4 linked regions of the Drosophila melanogaster genome follow. The protein of the gene in region 1 interacts with the protein of each later gene in a pairwise test. Each region holds a gene or a part of one and is shown in the gene's direction. Other genes may lie near its edges. The genes, in order: CG15071, CG34404, mr and ERp44.

What was found.
Region 2: the proteins of CG15071 (region 1) and CG34404 interact in a two-hybrid assay, tested with the Drosophila melanogaster proteins (one large-scale study listed by BioGRID).
Region 3: the proteins of CG15071 (region 1) and mr interact in a two-hybrid assay, tested with the Drosophila melanogaster proteins (one large-scale study listed by BioGRID).
Region 4: the proteins of CG15071 (region 1) and ERp44 interact in a two-hybrid assay, tested with the Drosophila melanogaster proteins (one large-scale study listed by BioGRID).

Annotation. Positions count from the first base shown.
Region 1 is NT_033778.4:18,695,003-18,697,846, forward strand, and holds CG15071 (uncharacterized protein), read left to right. Parts: upstream 1-1,582; 5' UTR 1,583-1,631; coding exon 1,632-2,252; 3' UTR 2,253-2,343; downstream 2,344-2,844.
Region 2 is NT_033777.3:15,363,422-15,369,437, reverse strand, and holds CG34404 (uncharacterized protein), read left to right. Parts: upstream 1-1,772; 5' UTR 1,773-2,003; coding exon 2,004-2,291; intron 2,292-2,615; exon of another isoform or gene 2,616-2,639; coding exon of another isoform or gene 2,640-2,774; exon of another isoform or gene 2,775-2,841; coding exon 2,842-3,091; intron 3,092-3,148; coding exon 3,149-3,478; intron 3,479-3,533; coding exon 3,534-3,667; intron 3,668-3,729; coding exon 3,730-4,031; intron 4,032-4,092; coding exon 4,093-4,803; intron 4,804-4,861; coding exon 4,862-4,994; 3' UTR 4,995-5,505; downstream 5,506-6,016. Other genes in the region: CG14868 (uncharacterized protein), read left to right, coding at 1-372, 425-532, 591-678, 737-875, 932-1,502; CG6171 (uncharacterized protein), read left to right, coding at 5,670-6,016.
Region 3 is NT_033778.4:23,970,866-23,975,922, forward strand, and holds mr (morula), read left to right. Parts: upstream 1-1,565; 5' UTR 1,566-1,643; coding exon 1,644-1,706; intron 1,707-1,767; coding exon 1,768-2,284; intron 2,285-2,340; coding exon 2,341-2,579; intron 2,580-2,654; coding exon 2,655-2,835; intron 2,836-2,894; coding exon 2,895-3,596; intron 3,597-3,647; coding exon 3,648-3,911; intron 3,912-3,976; coding exon 3,977-4,218; intron 4,219-4,274; coding exon 4,275-4,475; 3' UTR 4,476-4,543; downstream 4,544-5,057. Other genes in the region: CG3065 (uncharacterized protein), read left to right, coding at 1-1,032; PPP1R15 (protein phosphatase 1 regulatory subunit 15), read right to left, coding at 5,013-5,057.
Region 4 is NC_004354.4:16,293,301-16,299,618, reverse strand, and holds ERp44 (endoplasmic reticulum protein 44), read left to right. Parts: upstream 1-1,958; 5' UTR 1,959-1,977; intron 1,978-2,379; exon of another isoform or gene 2,380-2,536; intron 2,537-2,711; exon of another isoform or gene 2,712-2,828; coding exon of another isoform or gene 2,829-2,843; exon of another isoform or gene 2,844-2,948; intron 2,949-3,031; exon of another isoform or gene 3,032-3,134; 5' UTR 3,135-3,252; coding exon 3,253-3,309; intron 3,310-3,348; exon of another isoform or gene 3,349-3,487; coding exon 3,488-3,572; intron 3,573-4,304; coding exon 4,305-4,396; intron 4,397-4,500; coding exon 4,501-4,894; intron 4,895-4,964; coding exon 4,965-5,231; intron 5,232-5,305; coding exon 5,306-5,504; intron 5,505-5,578; coding exon 5,579-5,723; 3' UTR 5,724-5,766; downstream 5,767-6,318. Other genes in the region: CG3632 (uncharacterized protein), read right to left, coding at 1-79, 148-343, 409-599, 779-1,770, 1,835-1,958, 2,829-2,843.

The DNA of each region.
Region 1 (2,844 bases):
TTCATTCCAAGTTAAGATGAAAAACCGCATTGCAAATGTGAGTTTTTAAACTGTTTAAACTGTATGCTACTATACATTTCATTATTTATATGTCGATATTATTTCTCTCTGTGCAGCCCTATGCTCTACCCGTCTCTTTCTGGTCAATTCACACCGTCTCGCTCACATTTGTTGATTGATCTTTCGCTATGGGCAAATATTTAAGCTGCCGTCTGAGCGTTGCCTTTTGGCCAGCAGACCGAAAACATGTTTGAACATCTAACACGCGTCAGACCGAAAAGAAGCGAGTGCAAGCGGGACGGAGATGATGAGCGAGCGAGATGGGTGGCTGAAATCGTTTAACAATTTTTATTTACCTTTTTATTAACAATTTCGCGGCTTTTTGCAGCTCACCATTCGTGTGTCTGCGGTTTTTATCATATTTCTACTGTGTGTGTGTGTGTTTACAAAACCCAAAAAATTATGCGCACTAAATCTAAGGTCGACCTTTTGCCTTTCCTTTGCATTTCCACGTTCATATTTGTATGCTTTTGATACTAACAAAACTATGCTATCTGCAGCAAAAAAAAAAAATACGCATACATACATACATTCCAATGATAAGCACAAATGCTATCAGTGGAGTTGCTTCTTCTGCTGATTTTTCATCCACGATGTTTTGTCATCGCAAGAAAAGTAAATTCGCAAATCAGTCACGTGCGTTCGCTCTCTGTCTCTGTCGCACAGCGGAGTGGGTGGTGTGGGCGCAAGTGGGTTGTGGCTGGTGGGTGGGAGGGAGACAGAAGACAAACAGCACGCGCCAAGTTAATGCTGCCCGATTTGACTTTGCAGGCGATAGCAAAACAAATAATAAATCAACATTTCATCCGCACAAACAGTCAAACTTCCATACCAAGCACTTTTGTAATTCCAGCAATTTTAGCCGTACATAAAAAAAAAAGGCAATTTAAATATAAACGAATTTCGTTAGTTAACAGTGAATCTTAAATATAACGAACATTTTTGCATAATATATAAACCTTCTTAGCTTTGATTTCATTGATTGTAGATTGTGATTTAATATATTAGTTCCACTAAAGCAAGGCTCACTGTTGTATTTCCTACTTTTACTTTATACTTTTGTTAGTCCATTGAAACTTGATTAGCTCGCCAAACATTTGATCGTCACTTGAGTTTTTGGCTAGCAGGTGGATTTTCCCGGTCTCCCACAAGTACTGATTAGAAATTAGTTAGCCACGAAAGTGGTCTTCAAGCCACGACCCCGTTTGTCCCATTTCCATGGGCAATTAAGTAGGCCATGACATGGAAACAGTAATTGTACTAATCGATTTTCCATTTCCACTGAAAGTTACCGCTGCCGTTTGGAAAATTGTAAAATCCAGCCAAGCCAAATAAAGTTTACTGACCCCCGGCAGAAGCATAGAATTGTTGGCACAGCAGCCGGAAAAATCGAGGGGGGTGGAAAGGTTGCATATCGATTAAACACGTGGAAGGAGTGGGTGGGTGGTTGGGTGTGCTGGCAACACGTTTGATTACCGCGTGTAAATAAGAACAACCAAACGAGCGCTGCAGAAGTTGCAACGACTCTCTCCTTGGATGTTGTGCAACAATCACATGCTACCGAAGCCCCAATGGAAAATCCAAAAGACGATGAACAAAAGCCAACGGCTCCAAGGGCTCAACCGCCGGAAAAACCCGCTCGTAAACGGAATCAAGTTAAAATTCCGCCCAAGATCAGGGCGGCAAAACTAACACCTACCGCCATTCTGTGTGAATTGACGCGCCTGAAGGCGCAGCAAAAATATCTCGAATGCAATCAAGTCAAGCTGAATCCCAATAATTTCATACTCAAAGATGATGAGGGCACAGATTCAAAGACCGAGTCTTGCCAAGAGCCGGAAACTGGTCGAAATCCACGACCCAACAGTTCCTCCACGGCAGATCTAATAGGTCTGATCAACGAAATCGAACAGGAGAAACTTGTGCTCCATGAAAAACTTAAGCTATATAGCAGCGAAAAGCGTGGAGAGCTTCAGGATATGTGGCATTTTGTGGCCACCGTTAAGGAGGATGTCTTTCGGCCAGAACGTCTTAGCCAATATACAGTGAATGCTCTAAGGGAAAGAATCGTTGGCCTAAATGCCCAATTGTATCGCTTGGCTGCTAGGAACTCAAAGGAACTCGAAGAACTGAGGGAGCAGTACGCTAAAATGGAAATTGAAAATAAGCTGTTGTGGAAAGGTAGCATGTAGATTAATATACAGCAACTTTTGGATTAGTTTTTTTTTCACTTTTTCACATAGATAATATCCCAAAAATTTGTATTTGTTCTATAACTTGAATAGGCTTGCAAAACAATAAAGAAATATCTTTAAATCAAGTGGAATAGTTTCAAAAGTAGATATACCTACAAAGTATTATCCAATCCAATTTAAATGCAAATACCATTAGTTTTGAAAAAGTATTACGGAGCAAATGCTTTTCTCGATGGCCATGCATTGCGATTTGCAGACAAATATTGCTGAAATTCTTGACATTGTTTCAGGGCCCTTATTTAATGGGCGACACTCGTAATCAACAACATTTTAGACCTTGCCTTGAGCTGCTTGCCTTTTAAATCAATAGGACCTTTTGATGCGACTTTTTTCGCCTTCGGCTGAAGGATTCCCAAACGGAGGCGACACTGGTATTTTCTGCCACGACTGCTATACTTGTTGTTGGTGTATTTCTGGTTGCGATTATTTTGAAATGTCTCATTTGCGAGCGCCGAGCTTGAGGTTCATCGCATTCGCCGGGCGACCAATGGGGAAAGGTCAAACGGCACGTGGCAATGGCATTTCTGTT
Region 2 (6,016 bases), on another chromosome or scaffold:
CACGAGACGCGCGAGCAGAACCTAAAGCTCAGCACCGAAGTGGAAGCCCTGAGGCAGCGGCTCAACGAGCTGCATGGCGACATGGAACTACTCCGGGAGACGGAGGCCAGCAACAAGTCGCGGGTACAGGCAATGGCCAGCGAGAATGCCGCTCGCAACAAGGAGGAGCTGCAGTGGCGTCGTGAGCGGGCAAACTTTATCTGCCACCTGGAGGGCCTCAAAAAAAGGAATGCCCAGCTGGCCTTCGACCTGAAGGCGGTGATCGATGAGAAGGAGGAGCTGATAACCGAGCGGGATGCCTACAAGTGCAAGGCACACCGCCTAAATCATGAACTCTTTGTGGCCCTCAGGGCGAAGAAAACGCATCCAAGGGTGAGTTAACTGATGCTATATAGTACTTACTTGATAGTTATTGATTTTCCAGCTCCTGGACATCGATGGTGTTTTGCTGGAGAACAAGTACCTGCATGAACGTGTGAAGATCCAAGACAGCGAACTGGAGCTCACCAAACAGAGCATCAATAAGTACAAGGTACTGGTATTAGTTAAGACTTATTACCATTTTATTTATTTATATTTAAATCATTCAGACAATGTTGGATGCAAAACGAAAGAAGGGAATTGTAAAACTTGGCGGTGGGAGCACAAATGAGGACACCATTCTAAGCCCCCGGCAAGGTGAGTAATTATATGGTGGCCACCTCTTTCATGCCTTTCTAATTTGTTTGTACCCTAGTGAAAACAATCCTCGAGAGTGGCATTGAGCTGCCTCAGAAAACCGAGAGCTTAAGCGATCTAAAATCCTTGTGTCTGGCCCTGCTGGACAATCTCAACGACAAGAACTTGGCCCTGACGCACCAAAAGAAGACCAACAAGTAGGAAAATCCAGCTGAAAGTTGATATATATTTCATAAACCCATATTTCCTGCAGAATACTGGCTGGCAAAATGACGGAGCTGGAGCAGCGGTGGCAACAACTCCTCTCCGGAAACGATGACAACGCAGAGGAGCAGGAGGAGGACGTGGAATATGGTTATGCGCCTTCGCAGCTGCTCCTCAATGGCTATTGTGCCGCCATGGTAGATGACGCCGACATCAGCAGCACTCCGTCCATTGAGCCAGATAACGAAGGCGTCGCCATTACAGCGGATCATGAAGATTCAAAGAAGCACAAGTCCGTTGAGGCTCTGCATTCCGACGATGGAATGTCCTCGCTTTCAACGGAGTCCGTGGATTCGTCTGTGTACGGTGCAGATGTGCAGCCCGATGACTTCCAAAAGTCTTCATCCGCCACAACAGATTCGGGCAACTGTGGATTGAGCAGCCGCTGCAACGGCACGCCACGAATATCCAGTGCAGTGGCACGGGAACGTATGGAGGATCTGAAGGACCTGCCGCCTCACCTGGCCACTCTGGTCCAGAAAGCACTTCACGATCTGGACATGCGGGACTACGAGGCTATGGTGACGATACGAGCAGAGAATCTGGCGGCTATTCCTTAGAGAAAAACTAGTTCAATTGAGGACTCCCAAAGAAATGGATGAAACCATATCTCAGTGTTGACAAAAGATATAATACATATATATATTACCGCAACAGCGTACAATAAAACCAGATTATATAAAATAAATCACTTTATTCAATCGATATTGCGTTGAAACTGGATATGTACAATAACTATAGCATACAGTTTTAAAAGACGCGCCCAAGTTATCGATAAATAATATGCGGAGTGTTGCATACCGTTAGCATAAACACACTCTCACACACTCTTATTTCTGGGTATACATTTTCTGATAAGAATGCAATAAATATCCCGACTGGTTGGAGTAATTTCGAGTTTTTGAATTAAAAATGCCTTAAGAAAAGTTTTTAATGAGCCATGTAGAGTTAACACCAGTGCCACATATCCTGGGAATGGAGCACCAATCAAAAGTCATCATCAAGCGGCCCAAATCAGGCCAATTCTAGTCGGAAAGTCGTTGCAGCCGCCCATTGCCACCATGTCGAATGATGTGCAGGTCGCCCGGGTGGCCAAGATAGCTACCGATGTGCCGCGTCGCAGTGGCAAGCAGCGTGACTCCAGCGGATTCCAGGGCAAGCACTCCGGCAGCGCGGCTGGCGAGGATTTCGAGTACGTCTTCGGTAGCATTTCGCCGCGCGGTGGAGGACCCGGTGGCAGGCACTTGGTGGGATCCTCCGACCTGGACTCTCCGGAGCACACGCAGCGGGACACCACCGAGAGTGACAACAACATATCCAGCTGCTCCACGCTAGACATTGTCAACAAAGTGAGTAATGATGCCCGCACTGAGAGAAATAACTAGATCTTAAATCAAAAAAATCAATATATTAATTTGCAATGATACATTGGTACTAAACATGATCAAGTTCATTTTAAATTAATTTTTAAAATGATCACAAAATATTTAAAAATACCTCATTATTGTGTAGTTTAAAATAAGAAACGCAGAATTTTCAATCATTGGTTTTCAAAGTGTTTCGGGCTTTAAATTCGGTTGGCGTCCAGTGCGCAGATGCGTGTGGAAGGCTGAGGGTCAAGTTGCAGCGGCGGAGAGCGCGGATGCATCCGCGGTCGGATGACGACGTAATCGCCAGTCAAAATTTTCCACTGGACCATGATTTCGGAGCAACTGCTTCCGCGCAGCTTGAGCTGCCTGTGCTGCAGCGATACGCCATCGGTGCCCAACGACAAGAGACGCAGTTGGGAGTATACGCTGATGGCTCATCCTCTGGCCAGACGGCCCATAAACGTGATGACCCCAAGAATAACCACTTAGAAAGCTCTAATCCGCCTCTTTTCTTTTGATTCACCTCCAGGTTGAGCAACTGTCGGTACAACAGCTAGAAAACCGGGTGCGGGATCTAACGCAGCGTCTGCAGCAGGCGGAAAGACAGCTCACTGAGAGCAACACAGAGCGGGAAATATGCCACAAGCGCTTGGAGGTTGTCAGCCAGGCCCACGAGTGTCGCATCACAGAGATGCACTGTGTCATCGCCGAGTTAAGCAAGAAATTGCGCAGTAAGCAGGACCACGTTATCATGGAGGAGCAGGAGCCCGACGGCAGCGGTGCGTAGCAGTTTCAAATGAGGGAAACAAACCCCTAACCGACAGTCTTGTTTTCAGAACTCAGCTTTCAGGAGGGTTCAGTGTACAATTCCGAGCTTAACCTCACCAATCCTGATGCCGAATGTCAAACAGAACCACTGGAAGACTTCGAGGGCGCCTGCAGTACCACCAGCGTGGGTAACGTTGCCCACAAACCGCCGGAACTGAGCCATAAGGGACAAGTGGAGGCACTGCAGGAGGAAGTTCTGCACTTGAGAGCTCGAATCGCCCTCCTCCAGTCCGAGATTTCCACCAAGGATGCTGCTGTGGTCGAGGAACAGACCAAAGTCGCCTTCGACTGCGAATCGGAAGTCAACGAGTGCGGACAGCGACTGAATGATTTGAATGGTAATATAAATAATCCTGATGATAAAAGAATGGTTACACATTTAGATGCTTTCAGTTTGCACTTCCTTGACAAGTCCGCAAAAACGCATTCCAGCGGTACCGAAAATGGCTGAACGGGTTAAGTTGCGGTGCGCCAGCAAACATGAATCCGGAGAAGATCCATCCCAAGATACTTCATTGAGCAACGAGGTGTGTTGACCAAAACTTTATTCAGAGAATACATTTCAACCCATACAACCCATAATTTTAAGCAAATTAATCTGGTCGAACATTTGGTGTCGGAGCTAAAGGAGCAAAATCTATATATGGAGAACTTTATGGAGCCCCTACATTTGAGCAAAGACTTGGAGCGACTGCAACGACGTGTTGAACAATTGGAGATGCGAAACACCATGCTGGCACTGACGCTAGACGAATGCAAGGAGCACACTGAGCATCTGTATCTGCTATGCGGAAAGTACGAGTCCAATGCGGTTGCTCTTCAGTTGGCGCTTAATTGCAGTGATCGCGCCATCGAGGCCTACGACGTAATGTTGGCTCTGCTCGAAAGCAAGTAAGTACAATCACCATAAGACGCGGGTTGTTGTCCCTATTTCACAATTCATCACTTCCAGGTTGGCACTGCTGGGGGAGAAATCAGTGGCAGCGGAAGAGAGTCGACGATCGGTGGAGGCGGTGGCCAGGCACCTGCTAGCCCGTTTGGATAGCGAGAAAAACGTTTGTGAGAACAGCCTGGGACCGTGGCAACACAACATCAACCTGGGCCCAGAGGATGCCCCAAAAACTGGCCGCCCGTGGTGTGCCGACGACGACAACCGCCTGCGTTACCACGTCTCCAAGCTGAAGGGACGTCGTTCCAATGTCCAGCATACCATTGTCAGTTTGGAATCACCCTTCAGCGACATATACGAAAGAAAGCGCCTGGCTTTGGAAAAGGAGCACGAACTTCGGAGCGCGGACAAGAAGTCACCCATTGACTTGGAGACAGCAGTGATTATGCAAGAAATACTCGAGCTGCGGGATTCGAATTTGCAGCTGAAGACAAAAATGGAAGAGGCCGAGCAGGAACGGCAGAACGCCAACGAACGAGTGGGCATACTCCACGAAGCCCTAAAGCAGCTACAGGCAAACAACCGGGTCTCGTATTCGGAGGCGGAGCATGCGGCTCTCACAGAGCAGCAGTTGGTGGAGGCCTTAACTCGAGAAACGGAGCTCAAGGGTCGCATACAGACGCTATTGGCAAATGTAACAGCTTCGCAGAAGGCCTTCGACGAAAAATACGAGCAACTGCATCAGAACGTGCGTGAACTGCAGAAATCCAACCAGTAAGATTCGTTTTATTTTGACTGTTTCATACATAATTTCTTCATATTTCCCTTTTAGCAATCTGGGCCAAATGTTAGATCACACCAAGCGCAAGTACCAGCTGCGGGTGAGGAAGCTAGAGCAGAAGATTGTTGACCTGCGGCTGGACTACGAGCAAGGCCATAACCATGTTCCTGAGACTACTCTGTAGGAAACGCATGACGACCTTCCAGGAGGACTGAGCAACTGGGCGTGGAGCGGGCGCGCTTGTCACATATCCCGCAAAAGATCTTTCCCTCTCGATCATATCGCTTATTTTACCTTTAATGCAATGACCACCCGCCCAGCAGTCGCCGTGGATCCGCCATGACCAAGACAGTATCACGAATGTGCCATGCGACTTAATTGCAGTCGGCTGGGGCTTGGGCGGTGTCCCTGCCTCGCAGATAAGGCTGCAGTAACTACATACTCAAATACATACATATTCAGAGGTGCCATGAGCAAGGCTCCACCAACCTATCCATAGATCCGTGGGATTGGAGCATCCGTCTATGGGCCACAAGCAATTACATATACACACATACGAATAGACAAACTAAGGAGTTATTCAAGACGCATACACGGGATCCTATATTTATACAATGTATTCGCATTTTGCTTGTTATATGATTCAATATGTATTTAAAACTGTACAAAATATAAAACGTCTACTAAAACTCGATAAAATTCACGAATTTGAAATTGGCTCCAATAATTAATCGATAAGCTAATGAAACTAACTTAAGCATCCATCACCATTTCGTGTAGTGTTGCAAATCACCAGAATCAAGTATATGAGTACTTGTGAAATAAAAATGTTTTGAAAATTTAACTTAATTTACTTAAAATGAGTGCCACAGATGCATCTACAGCCGATAGTGGCGCTAAACGAAAATCTTCTGAAGATATCACACACAATTGCAACGCAAATTTTGGCGCAGAAAACGGCCTAAGAAAGCGCGTAAAATCGGAGGAGCCTGTGGCGTCCATTAAAGATGAAACAAATCCTGAAGTTCCTATGAAAATAAAAGCTGAGCCAGTGGAGAATGCAGATGAGCCCACAAGCACTACTCCTGCGATCAAGATTAAAGCCGAACCAGCGGACAATGGAAACTCACCTGCAGCTGCGATGGTAAAAACCGAGCCCACTAATAGCAATGCACAGGACGCCGCCGACGAGTCTACCGTATCTTC
Region 3 (5,057 bases), 5.3 Mb from region 1:
GACGAGGCGAATGTGGAGAATGTGCCCCATCACGGAGTTGAGACTGAGCCTGAGGACGACTCGCACTACGGCGGGAACGGCAACTCTAAGATCCGCATAATGCCCAGTGTGAAGCTAATGGCCACGACGCTCGCCTCCGATCCCAAGCGCAAGTTCGTCTGCCCGTATGACAACTGTACAAAGAGCTACGGCAAGAGCTCCCACCTGCGGTCCCACCTCACCTGGCACACGGGCATCAAGCCCTTCGTCTGCAGCGAGCCCAAGTGCGGCAAGGGATTCACGCGCTCCGATGAGCTCAACCGGCACCTCCGGACGCACACCGGCGAGAAGCCCTTCGAGTGCATCCAGTGCACCAAGAAGTTTTCCCGCAGCGACCACCTCACCAAGCACCTAGCTACCCACGACCGCCAGCTAAAGGGCAGCACCCCGAAGCGAACAGTACCGAGCAGCAGTGGTGGAGTCCGGCTCAAGCCCCCGAAGAAGCAGATTCATTCGGAGTCGGACTCGGGCTTCCACTTCATGGCCGCCATGGTTGGTTGCGGGGAGCCGAGCATGAAGCACCACCACCAGCAGCAGCAGCATAACCAGCACCAGCAGCCCGTGAGCATTATCGACATCCACCACAAGCCGATAAAGATTAAGCTGGAACGGCCGGAGCACAGCGACAAGTACCAGATCGTATCTCCTGAACACCAGATGGATAACCATGGCCACAACCAGAGCCAGTTGCCCGATTTCCTTAACCAGGCGAAGCCCGAGGTAAAATACGAACCGACCGAAGAAATTGTAAATACCCTCTCTCAGCTACCGCCGGCGGACGGACCCGGCACGTATGGGATGCCCCAGTTCGTTCAGGATCGGCCTTTCTACTGCCGGCAGTGTGAGAAGCGGTTCAAGCGGCAGGACGACCTCAACCGACACATACGAACGCACACCGGGGAGAAGCCCTACGCCTGTCAGCAGTGCTGTCGCCGGTTTGTGCGGAGCGACCACTTGAAAAAGCATCAGCAGACGCATTTGAAGATACGATAGTTTCATAGTTACTCCTTACTCCTTAAGTCGCTAGCCATTGGCATCCGCATCCAATCGATATTGGCTACCACACGGGCGTGTGTCGGGTGACGCACACAGTACAATAAAATTAAATAAATTCGCAATCTAACTATATTCCTATGCAAGATCAGCGCCGGCTCTCAAATCTCAATTTGTATGTATGTATGTAAATAAGTCGTATGCAATTTAATTTTAGCTCTAACTGTTTGTGTTTGCCGGAACGTGAAGACATACATCTGTATTTCTGAAACTCTTGCTGTTTCTTATTTTCTGGCTACTAAGCTCCCCGTATCTATTAATATAATTTATTTTAGTAAAACTGTTATTTATATTTATGGGCTAATTGATGGGGAACTGATAGTTCATCAGGATCAGGACTCGATCCAGTTTGAAATTTGGAATATGATTAATAATGGCCTATAAGAATGAATAATAGATATATGTATAATTTCTGATAAATCAAAGATTCATCGACTATCGGTTCGGTTGATAGAATCGACTTATCGATAACAGCATTATCATCACCATTGGCGTTTGATTCAGAGTTTCAAGCAATGTTTTGCACTGTTTAAAATAATTACACACAAGCGATGTGCGACTTTGACGCTTTGTGGGCGGATGTACTGAGAATCTTTCCGGTTTTGGGTGGAGCGGTAGGTTTATTCCTTCGGTTCAGTAATAGGGATTGGCGCTAGCACTCAGAAACTCTTACAGAACGCTGTATCCAATGATCCGGTTGAGGAGAATGTATTCCAAAATGTTCGCCAGCACCTGATGGTGTTGGGCAGCATAGACACCTTCGCGGCGGTTGTGGACCTGGAAATCCAGTCGACTATTCGGAATGTCCTGGTGCCCAAGTTCTGGAAGCACATCCACGACGGCTTGGTCTCGTCTAAATTGCAGGGCTGGATTAACGACCAAGCTCTGGCCATAGAAGCACTGCCCGATAAGAACGGACTGTTCACCCAGTTCATCGACGCCATCAATGAGCTGCATGACAGCTTTCAGAGCCTGATGCAGGTGAAGCCCAGGCTGATCCAGCTAGTTGGAGCTGAGACAAAGCCCACCGCAAAGACGGTGAAGCTCATGCAGGAGGAAGGCATTAAGAACTGCTTAAGGGACTGCTTGCTGGCTCAACTGCCACCCAATTTCAGTGTGGTCGTTGGGGCCTTCTACTGGGTGCACTTTAAGCTCTTCACCAAGGCCTCAAATCTCGCATTGACCACAGTTGGTATGTATCCGATACATACTCCTGTGGTTCCCATGCTCACTTGCTTTCCCCTTCAGACTCTGATGTTTTCGATGAGCTCCTCTGCGTTGGCTGCAACTTCGAAGCAGAGCAATGCTGCTGCCAAAGGCTGACGGATATGGTTAACAAGACAAACATGAAGCTCTTCGAGATGAACCTCATTGACCGTCTAACTGGGAGTGCTTTAACCGCTCTCATCAAGCTTAAAATCAAGGAGCACATCAGCGATACATGCATGGGAATCTTCGACAGAAGTCATCTTAAGCAACTGGAAACTGTAAGTTGAATGGGAATACCTTCTGTTGTCATAAATAAACTACTTAAGTAACTCATTTATTACCTACCTTTGCAGTGGCTATCGGATGTCATAATGTCCTGGCTCACAAACATATTCACGGAATGGAAGTCTAAGGATAGCATAAGCGATATCGAAGTTCCCGAGTCTGTAAAATCCTTCAAAGTCAAACTGACTTACTTTATGTACGAAACGTTTGCCCAAAGCGTTATTGGTCAGTTCTTCAGCATTATAATTGGTATGTGCCCGTAGATTCAGCCAAGAGTCCCCCAACTACATGTATTTATTTGTAAACAGACTATCCCGATTCCATTCCGGCTATAGATGACTTAAAGATTTGCATGGAGAAAATAGATATGCGAGTCTACCTCACTGAATCCCTTAGGAACTCGCTAGAGGCAAGGATTCTGCATCCTGGAGTCAACACCATGGACATATTAACGGGTTACGTGGCAGCCATCAAAGCTATTCGCCATCTGGATAGTACCGGAGTCATCTTAGAGATGGTAACTGCTCCAATCAAAGATTACCTGCGGAAACGAAACGACACAGTGCGACGCGTAGTCACTGGGTTGACTGAAGAGGGGCCCACGGACTTATCCGAGGAACTCGCCAAGGGAGAAACAATTAAGGAATGCAAGGACTCGGGTACCGATGAGTTCAGCAACTGGGAAAATTGGCAACCCGATCCGTTTGGTATAGATGCCAGCATTATGCAGTACAACAGCTCGCGGAAGATGAGATCGGCCGACATTATATCGATGGTTGTAGACATATACGGCAGTAAGGAGTTGTTTATGACAGAGTATCGCAATCTAATGGCGGACAGACTGCTGGCCCAGTTAGATTTTAATTCCGAAAAAGAAATTCGAAATCTGGAACTGCTGAAAATCCGCTTTGGCGAATCGCTGCTGCACAGCTGCGAGGTGATGTTGAAAGACGTAACCGACTCCAAGCGAATTAACGCGCACATCCACAGCGATGGCGACCGAACTGAAAGTGAGTTACTTTTAATTTTCAAAATGCTTTAACGAAACCATCTCATTTTAGATCAGTTGTTCGACATCTCCTCGCTGATTGTTTCTGCTCAGTTTTGGCCGTCCTTCAATAAAGAAAGCCTCCAACTTCCTGAGGAGATTGAGAATGAGTTCAAGAAGTACACCAAGGCCTACGAGGCATACAAGGGCAACCGTACGCTCAACTGGCGTACAGTGACTGGCCGTGTAAATATTGAAATCGAGATCGGTGACCGGACCATGGAAATGGTTGTGAGCCCCATTTTGGCGGTTATTATATACCACTTTCAAACTAAGAGTACGTGTTTACAGGGCAGTCAAGTTTTACAGTTTTACAACCGCATGGTCATATTTTTTTTTCAGATGAATGGACTATCGAGGATCTTAGTTCCATTACGAAAGTTCCAGCGTCTGCACTGCGGCGTCGTCTGAGTTTTTGGCAAAACCACGGATTGATCTCGGAAACGACACCCGGAATATTCACGCTGCTGGAAAAGGAATCGGAGAAGTCTCAGTACGAGGACATGAGTCTGGCAGAAGCTGACGAAGAGGATTTGGAATCCGCAATGGCTTCTGCCAGCGATCAAAGGGAAGAAGAACTCCAAGTAAGTGCCTTCAACTGTTCCTAATTCCGGCTTTTTCTTATACAATTATGCCGCAGGTTTTTTGGTCCTATATTGTTGGAATGCTCACGAATCTTGACTCCATGCCAATTGACCGAATCCACCAGATGCTGAAGCTGTTCGCCTCCCACAGCGGCGGAGTGGAGTTTACTCAGGATGAGCTGAAACACTTTCTCCAGCGAAAAGTCAGGGAGCACAAGCTAATATTCTCGGGTGGAGTTTACCAATTGGCCAAATAAGTTTCGGAGATCCAAAACCAAGTTGCAAACGACTGAAGGAATCATGAAATAAATAATGAATTAACGCGATAACATTTATGAAATTTACTGCTCCATGTTAAACGTACCTATTTTTTCAAACTGCCGTCTTATCTGTTTCTATTCAGAGCTTATCTCTCACCCACGTACACACAAAGTCTTTACCCAAACTTGTTTGGCTTGGGAATTTGGAACACAATGCAAGCAATCTTATGTGAAAAGAAGAACACACAGTAAAATACGTCTATTGCTTAATTTATTTCAAGTTATATTAAGGTATATGCTAATCCCGTTATCAACAAATTCAAACTTCTTAGGGCTCTAAAACTAAAGGCGAAGAAAAGTGTACGTGGTTTTGATATACTTTACAGGTTAAACAGTTTTTGGCTTCATAAAATCAATCACGAACGCAGTGGCTAAATCGATCACTTTATACACGCAAACAACTTGGAATTTAATGCTGTAATCGTTCTAAACTGTAATCTGTACATCAAAAGTTACTTCAGGTATGCGGACCAGCTAGTCCTCGTGCAAGAATCGAGCTTGGTAGACACGATCTCGGTG
Region 4 (6,318 bases), on another chromosome or scaffold:
AATTGGGACCATTTCCAGAGCGATCGGCGAATTTGTGTCCAAAGTTCAGCCATTCACGCTCGACAAGAACGCGGAACCCCTGCAAATACAAGCAAGTAGGTAGAGTATTAGTCCATAGAACACAAATGTTGATGTATATCAACGTACCTCAACCGTTCTGTAGTAGGGATCCAAACATAATTGCGCCGTGGCCACGATCTGTGGAGTGCGATCCCAACCGTCTGAGCAATGTACAAGGACGGGTCGTCCATTCTTCTCGATGGTGTGCACAACGGTCATGGTGGCTCCCAGCAGACCCGACAGGTGCTGCATCCACATGGTCTTTTCCAGTTGTCCGTACCAGCTGCAAGAATATGATTCCATTACATAAATATATATATATCTTTAATAATCAGCTAGTAAACTTACTTTGGATCATCGGGGGATGACGCGCATAGCTGTCGGACAGCGTGGAAACTCTTTCGAATGGCGTGGATGTTGCCCAAGTTCATAAACTCAATCTCTGCACAGGGATAGTACTCGATGCACTCACAGCCGCCACCTCTGGCACGATTTGTAACTGCGGAGGTGTAGCTGCGAGCATCCACAATGAGGATTTTCTGAAAGCAAATACAATTTAAGAGCAATGATCAAATTATTTCATTAGCACTTGGCGGTTTTGACATCATTTTACTGCTCCGTGTTAAGTAATTTATGATAATTATTCATGAATGTTTTCTTATATGGTAACTGAAACCTTCATTTCAAGAATACCCGGCTATTTTGGTAATAAACTTACCTTGATTTCATCCAGCGTGAGTTCCTCATGCGAGGAATCGTCCAGAGATGGTGAACTCTTGCCGGATAAGCCCGACTGGCCGTTGGTCTCCTTGGAGCCCTTTGTTGGTTGCGCCTTTGCATTGGCGCAGGTGGAATGCCTGGCGTGCTCGCCCCTGTCAAAGGCACAGGCATCGGCGAGTGCCTTGAGTAGCTGCTCGTCCCTTGTGTTGCGCCAGCCGAGCCAACCGACCTCCGGCTGGCTGCATCGGGCCAAGATGGCACCCGACTTTTGGTGCCGCCAGACGACAGCCGGCAGCCTTCGTGATCCCCGGAAGTTGGCCACGTTGTGGAGCATCTCATCGGTGATACAGCAGGGCACAAGCAATTTGGGTGGATACGAGGGACAGAGCTTAAAATCGGCATTGGCCGTGGAGATGCGCCACGAGCCCTTCAGATCGAATCCCAAGCGGGCAACCTCGTTCTTAAAGTCGCTTTCATAGCGCACTGATCGTTGCAGGCGATTGCTCATGGCGGCTGAGATGGTCTCGCTGGCAGGATCGGGCAGAGGATTCGACGCTGTGACGTTGGCTGTTGGCTTTGCCAAGCCATTGTGTAGCGTTAGGCAACGATCCTTGGCAATCAGGCCGTTTCCGTTGGCCTGGGCGCTAACGATACCGCTTCCATTGCCACTTCCGAGCACATCGCAGGTCCAGGAGTAGAAGGGAAAGGCGAAGAGTGTCTCCAGTGACTCGGGAACCCCGATCATCAGATGGATCCGGCGCTGCCAGTCGGAGCACTGTTCCGCCGACGGAAAGGAGCAGCGCACAGTGCTGGCATCCTTACAATTGACAATCAGCTGGAACAGATCTCGCACCTGTACGGATTCGATTAATCCCAATGGAACGTAGGTCTCGTAGCCGGTTGACTGCTTGGAAAGGAATATCCGATAATTGGACAGGGCGAGGATACCATCATCCGTGCGCCCCAGGTACTTAATCGATTCGCCGGCCACTAGTGGTATATATACTATAGATTAGCATGTGTTATCGGTTACAGCATATGGGGGAACACCTACACTCTTGAAACGGGACGAACAGCTGGGAGTCTTCCTTCTCCATTTGTGACTTTGGATACGATTCGGCGGCACGGATAAAGCAAATCGATGGAGGCGGTGATCCATCGGACATTGTGTGAATCGGCTAAAAGAATACTTAACATGTAACGTATTCGAAATTACTTATTTGCTTATATTTAGGCAAGGCGATTTGGGTGTCATTGGAAATCCGGTTATCGCTTATAAGTGCATATATCTCTTATATCCACCATCCGAATACATAATTACGCACAACAGTGTGTGTGCGATGTTATTGGGACGATTCGATACGTATAGTATAGTGGCTCCCATAAATAAATAAATAATACTATGCACATATGTGCATGTGCATTAAGCAGTGCACAAACAAAGCCAAATAAATGTCACTGGGATGATAAATTGGGCACAATCAACACTTTTAGAACAAATCGAAGTTAATATTTGAGTTTTTGAGTGTCGTGGTGGCAATATAGATAATGCACTGCATATATATGCACGTATGGATGTACAATGTACAATGAACATACATTTATGTGAGCACACACAGTTGCAGTTCCACAAGGTGCGCAATATATAGTATGCACATATTTGTGTGTCGCTGCATTACATACGCACGCACATATATACCAATAGACTAGATTATCACGATTTCATAGCCAATAGGCGAAAAATGGCCGATTATCGTACTCAACGTATTCTAATGGCCGTGTATGTTGTCATAAACAAAGTAATTAAACATTTACGCATGTGTATGTTTGCATAAACTCATATGTATATTTGTCTATGTAGGTATGTTTGTGTTTCGATATTTCGGGGAGCAACAATAACACATTACAATCGTACATATGTATGCACACACATTTGGTTTTTGGATTCCACAAACCGTTCGCTCAGCAGACTTTTCGGGGTATTTAGCTCAAAACGTATTGCCGAATTGAAAACGCGCTTGGCTTCTAGATTTTCTCGCTCTATTTACCACCATAAAATCCATAAGCGTCAGCTATTATAAACAAAGATTTGCAAATGTTGTTGCACATACATATGTATGCATATGTATTCATTTAGACACTTTTTGTTTCATTTCCATTGAAATTGCTATCGTTGTTTGCTGCTATCGCTGTTATCGCTGCTGTTAGCGATGGCCAAGTCATGTGACTAAGCTATCGTTACTCGATTGCCGATGAGATGTGCATTCGAGACTAACCAACACTGGCCAGCCGATAAAATCAACCAAAAATTTGTAAAACTTAATAATTGTGCGTACGTTTGCATTCCATTCCAGCTGATGTGTAACTGAAATCAGAAAAAAAGAGAACCGATCGCTTGGACTCTCCGCCGGTGCACGCAATTCTACGCCCACTCCTCGCCAGCCGCATTCGCCATTCGGAAGCCGAACAAGAATGTTTGGAGCCAGAATCGGAATCGGAAAGCTTGGGCCGTGTGTGGCCCTAGTTGCGGTGAGTCGACGTGTTCCGTTCTGTCTGGTCATGTTGCTGGTCACTGGAGTGGCTCACCCGCTCGATCAGCGGGCGGGGAAACAGTGGGGAGGGGCCGGCCAGACAGCCCCGGCTTTTTTTTGGCTCCCCCTAACCAAATAACTAACTAACCAGAACTGACATCCTATGGAATTTACAGATTCTACAGCTACTCCAGTACACACAGCCGGCCGATGCCGCCGGAGCCGTGCCCATGACCAGTGATAATATCGATATGACCCTAGGTGAGATATGCCCATACCATAACCATCACAGTCATCCCCATGCCATTCCCGCTGCCAGCGTGAGCGGGAATCAATTAGCCGACTTGTCCCATTGACGTGTCACTAAACAAAATCACTGGCTCGCTCAATTCGGCACTGCCAACGTGGTAAAATAAGTTTTATGCGCTTTCGTAAAGGACAAGGTGTGGAATTTGGATAAAACTTAATTAGGGCGGTTTATATTTCATGCTGCATCGGTCCGATAGTCCGCCAAAATGGGCACTAGCCATTGGTCGGCAGTTCTTTGCTCAGAATGTCCGAAGTTTGGTCTTTGCATGAATAGGTCCTTTTTATACGGTGTGTCCTGTACACAATCCTGCGGTAATACTATATTGTTTTTTTAAAGTTATTTTTTTTTATTATCCAAACGTTAACTTTTACAGTAAAGCCTGGCCTTAGGCTTGCACCCCTTAAATTTTAACTTTCGGAAGTTATGGAATAGTAGGATGCTAGAAATTTCTTGACTTTAATATGTATATTCAGCGACAAATTTAAATATATTCCATAAAAATACATATGCATTTAAATTATTAATACATAAACCCGTAATTCAATATTGATATAAATATATTACCAAATATATGTTTTTAAAAGTTATTATATTTAGTATCTGAACGGAGTTGTATTCTACGCATCAACAATTTTACACACAATTTGGTGCCTACATTAAAAACACGTTTTGTTTTCTTGCAGCGTCTAATGAATTGGTTTTCCTTAATTTTTATGCGGAGTGGTGTCGGTTTAGTAATATTTTAGCACCTATATTCGCGGAAGCTGCAGATAAGGTGAGTCAAATGGATCGCCAGTAAAAGCTTACAAACAATGCGATACATTCATATACATTTTATATCGAATAAATACGTGGCATTCAATCGAATTTCTCTTACAGATTAAAGAGGAGTTTCCAGAGGCTGGAAAAGTGGTGCTAGGCAAGGTCGATTGCGACAAGGAAACGGCCATCGCGTCCCGTTTCCACATAAACAAGTATCCAACATTGAAAATTGTACGCAATGGGCAGCTCAGCAAGCGCGAATACCGAGGACAGCGTTCAGCCGAAGCGTTCCTCGAGTTCGTCAAGAAGCAGCTGGAGGATCCCATTCAGGAGTTCAAATCCCTGAAGGATCTGGAGAACCTGGACTCGAAGAAGCGCCTCATTCTGGGCTACTTCGATCGTAGGGACCAGCCAGAGTACGACATATTCCGCAAGGTGGCGACAAATCTGAAGGAAGACTGCCAGTTCCACGTGGGCTTCGGAGATGCCGCCCAGGCCATGCATCCACCAGGTGAATTCTATCAAACGCACCAAGTCATGCCAAGCCAATACTGAATGTCAGCTTTTTTGGTCTATTACAGGTACACCTATCATAGTATTTAGACCTGATGTAGCTCTGTCTCATGAGAACGATGAGACCTACACTGGCAGCCTACAAAATTTCGATGAGCTCAAAATTTGGGTCCAAGAGAAGTGTGTACCCCTGGTGCGGGAAATAACATTTGAGAATGCAGAGGAACTTACGGAGGAGGGTCTGCCGTTCCTAATTCTCTTCCACCACCCAACCGATCATAATTCTATCAAGGATTACAAGTCGATCATTGAGCGTCAATTGCTGGATGAGAAACGTAAGATGAATCATCGTGTTGTTTACTTTGCATATAAGCATTTGGTTTGACATTGTATTTTCGAAATTTTGCAGAGAACGTCAACTTTTTGACCGCCGATGGCAAGCGATTCGCGCATCCTCTGCACCATCTGGGTAAATCCGAGGATGACTTGCCCTTGATTGCCATCGACTCGTTCAAGCACATGTATCTGTTCCCCCACTTCAGTGACATGTACTCGCCGGGTAAGCTGAAGCAGTTCCTTCAGGATCTCTACAGTGGCAAGCTGCACAGGTAATTGTTATACAGCCGCCTTTGCTAACACCATGGGGCTCAATTACTAAACGGTCTGCTGCTTTGCTTTCCAGGGAATTTCATTACGGGCCGGATCCCTCAAATGATATTGAACCTGACCCACACACTGGCAAGGGTACATCGCCACCAGAGTCCAAATTCAAGGAACTTGGCCCATCCAAGCATCGCTACACCCTGCTAGAAAAAGATGAACTGTAATATAATAATAATAATGTATATTGAAAATAAAAGAAAATAATACAAAAATGTAATAATGAGCAACCTTCTCTGAAAGCAGATCAGCAGGTGAGCGGTTATCCATGCAAATAGCGGGCGCAGCAGCCTCAATTCTCTTCAATGCAATTCTAAAAATAAAAAGTCTGGATTTAACCACCTTTGTTATTGCAAAAAGAAACAGTTGCTGAATTATCCACAAATTGCACGCGTCACTTTTCAAGTTTTCCTCGTTTTGTTGTTAAAAATTACGCTGGAGATTTCGGCGAGGCGAACTTATTGAATTCTTTGGAATCCCCTTCTTAGTCAGCTAAGCTGGAAATGAATGATGTCAACTTCCGAATTCAAAGCAGTGATTTTGATTTTCTCTATATATATATATATATACACATATATATGAGCTATATATGTATACATATATATATGTTTATTCGTATGTACCATGTTACAGTTACAGTTGTTAAATTAGATTACATAATTATATAATATAATTCAGTCAAAACGAGCGATAACCGTGTGTGTGTTGGGATAAAAATCGGTTCAAATGAAGTCGTGTGCTGGCAATTATCATTTAAAAGTT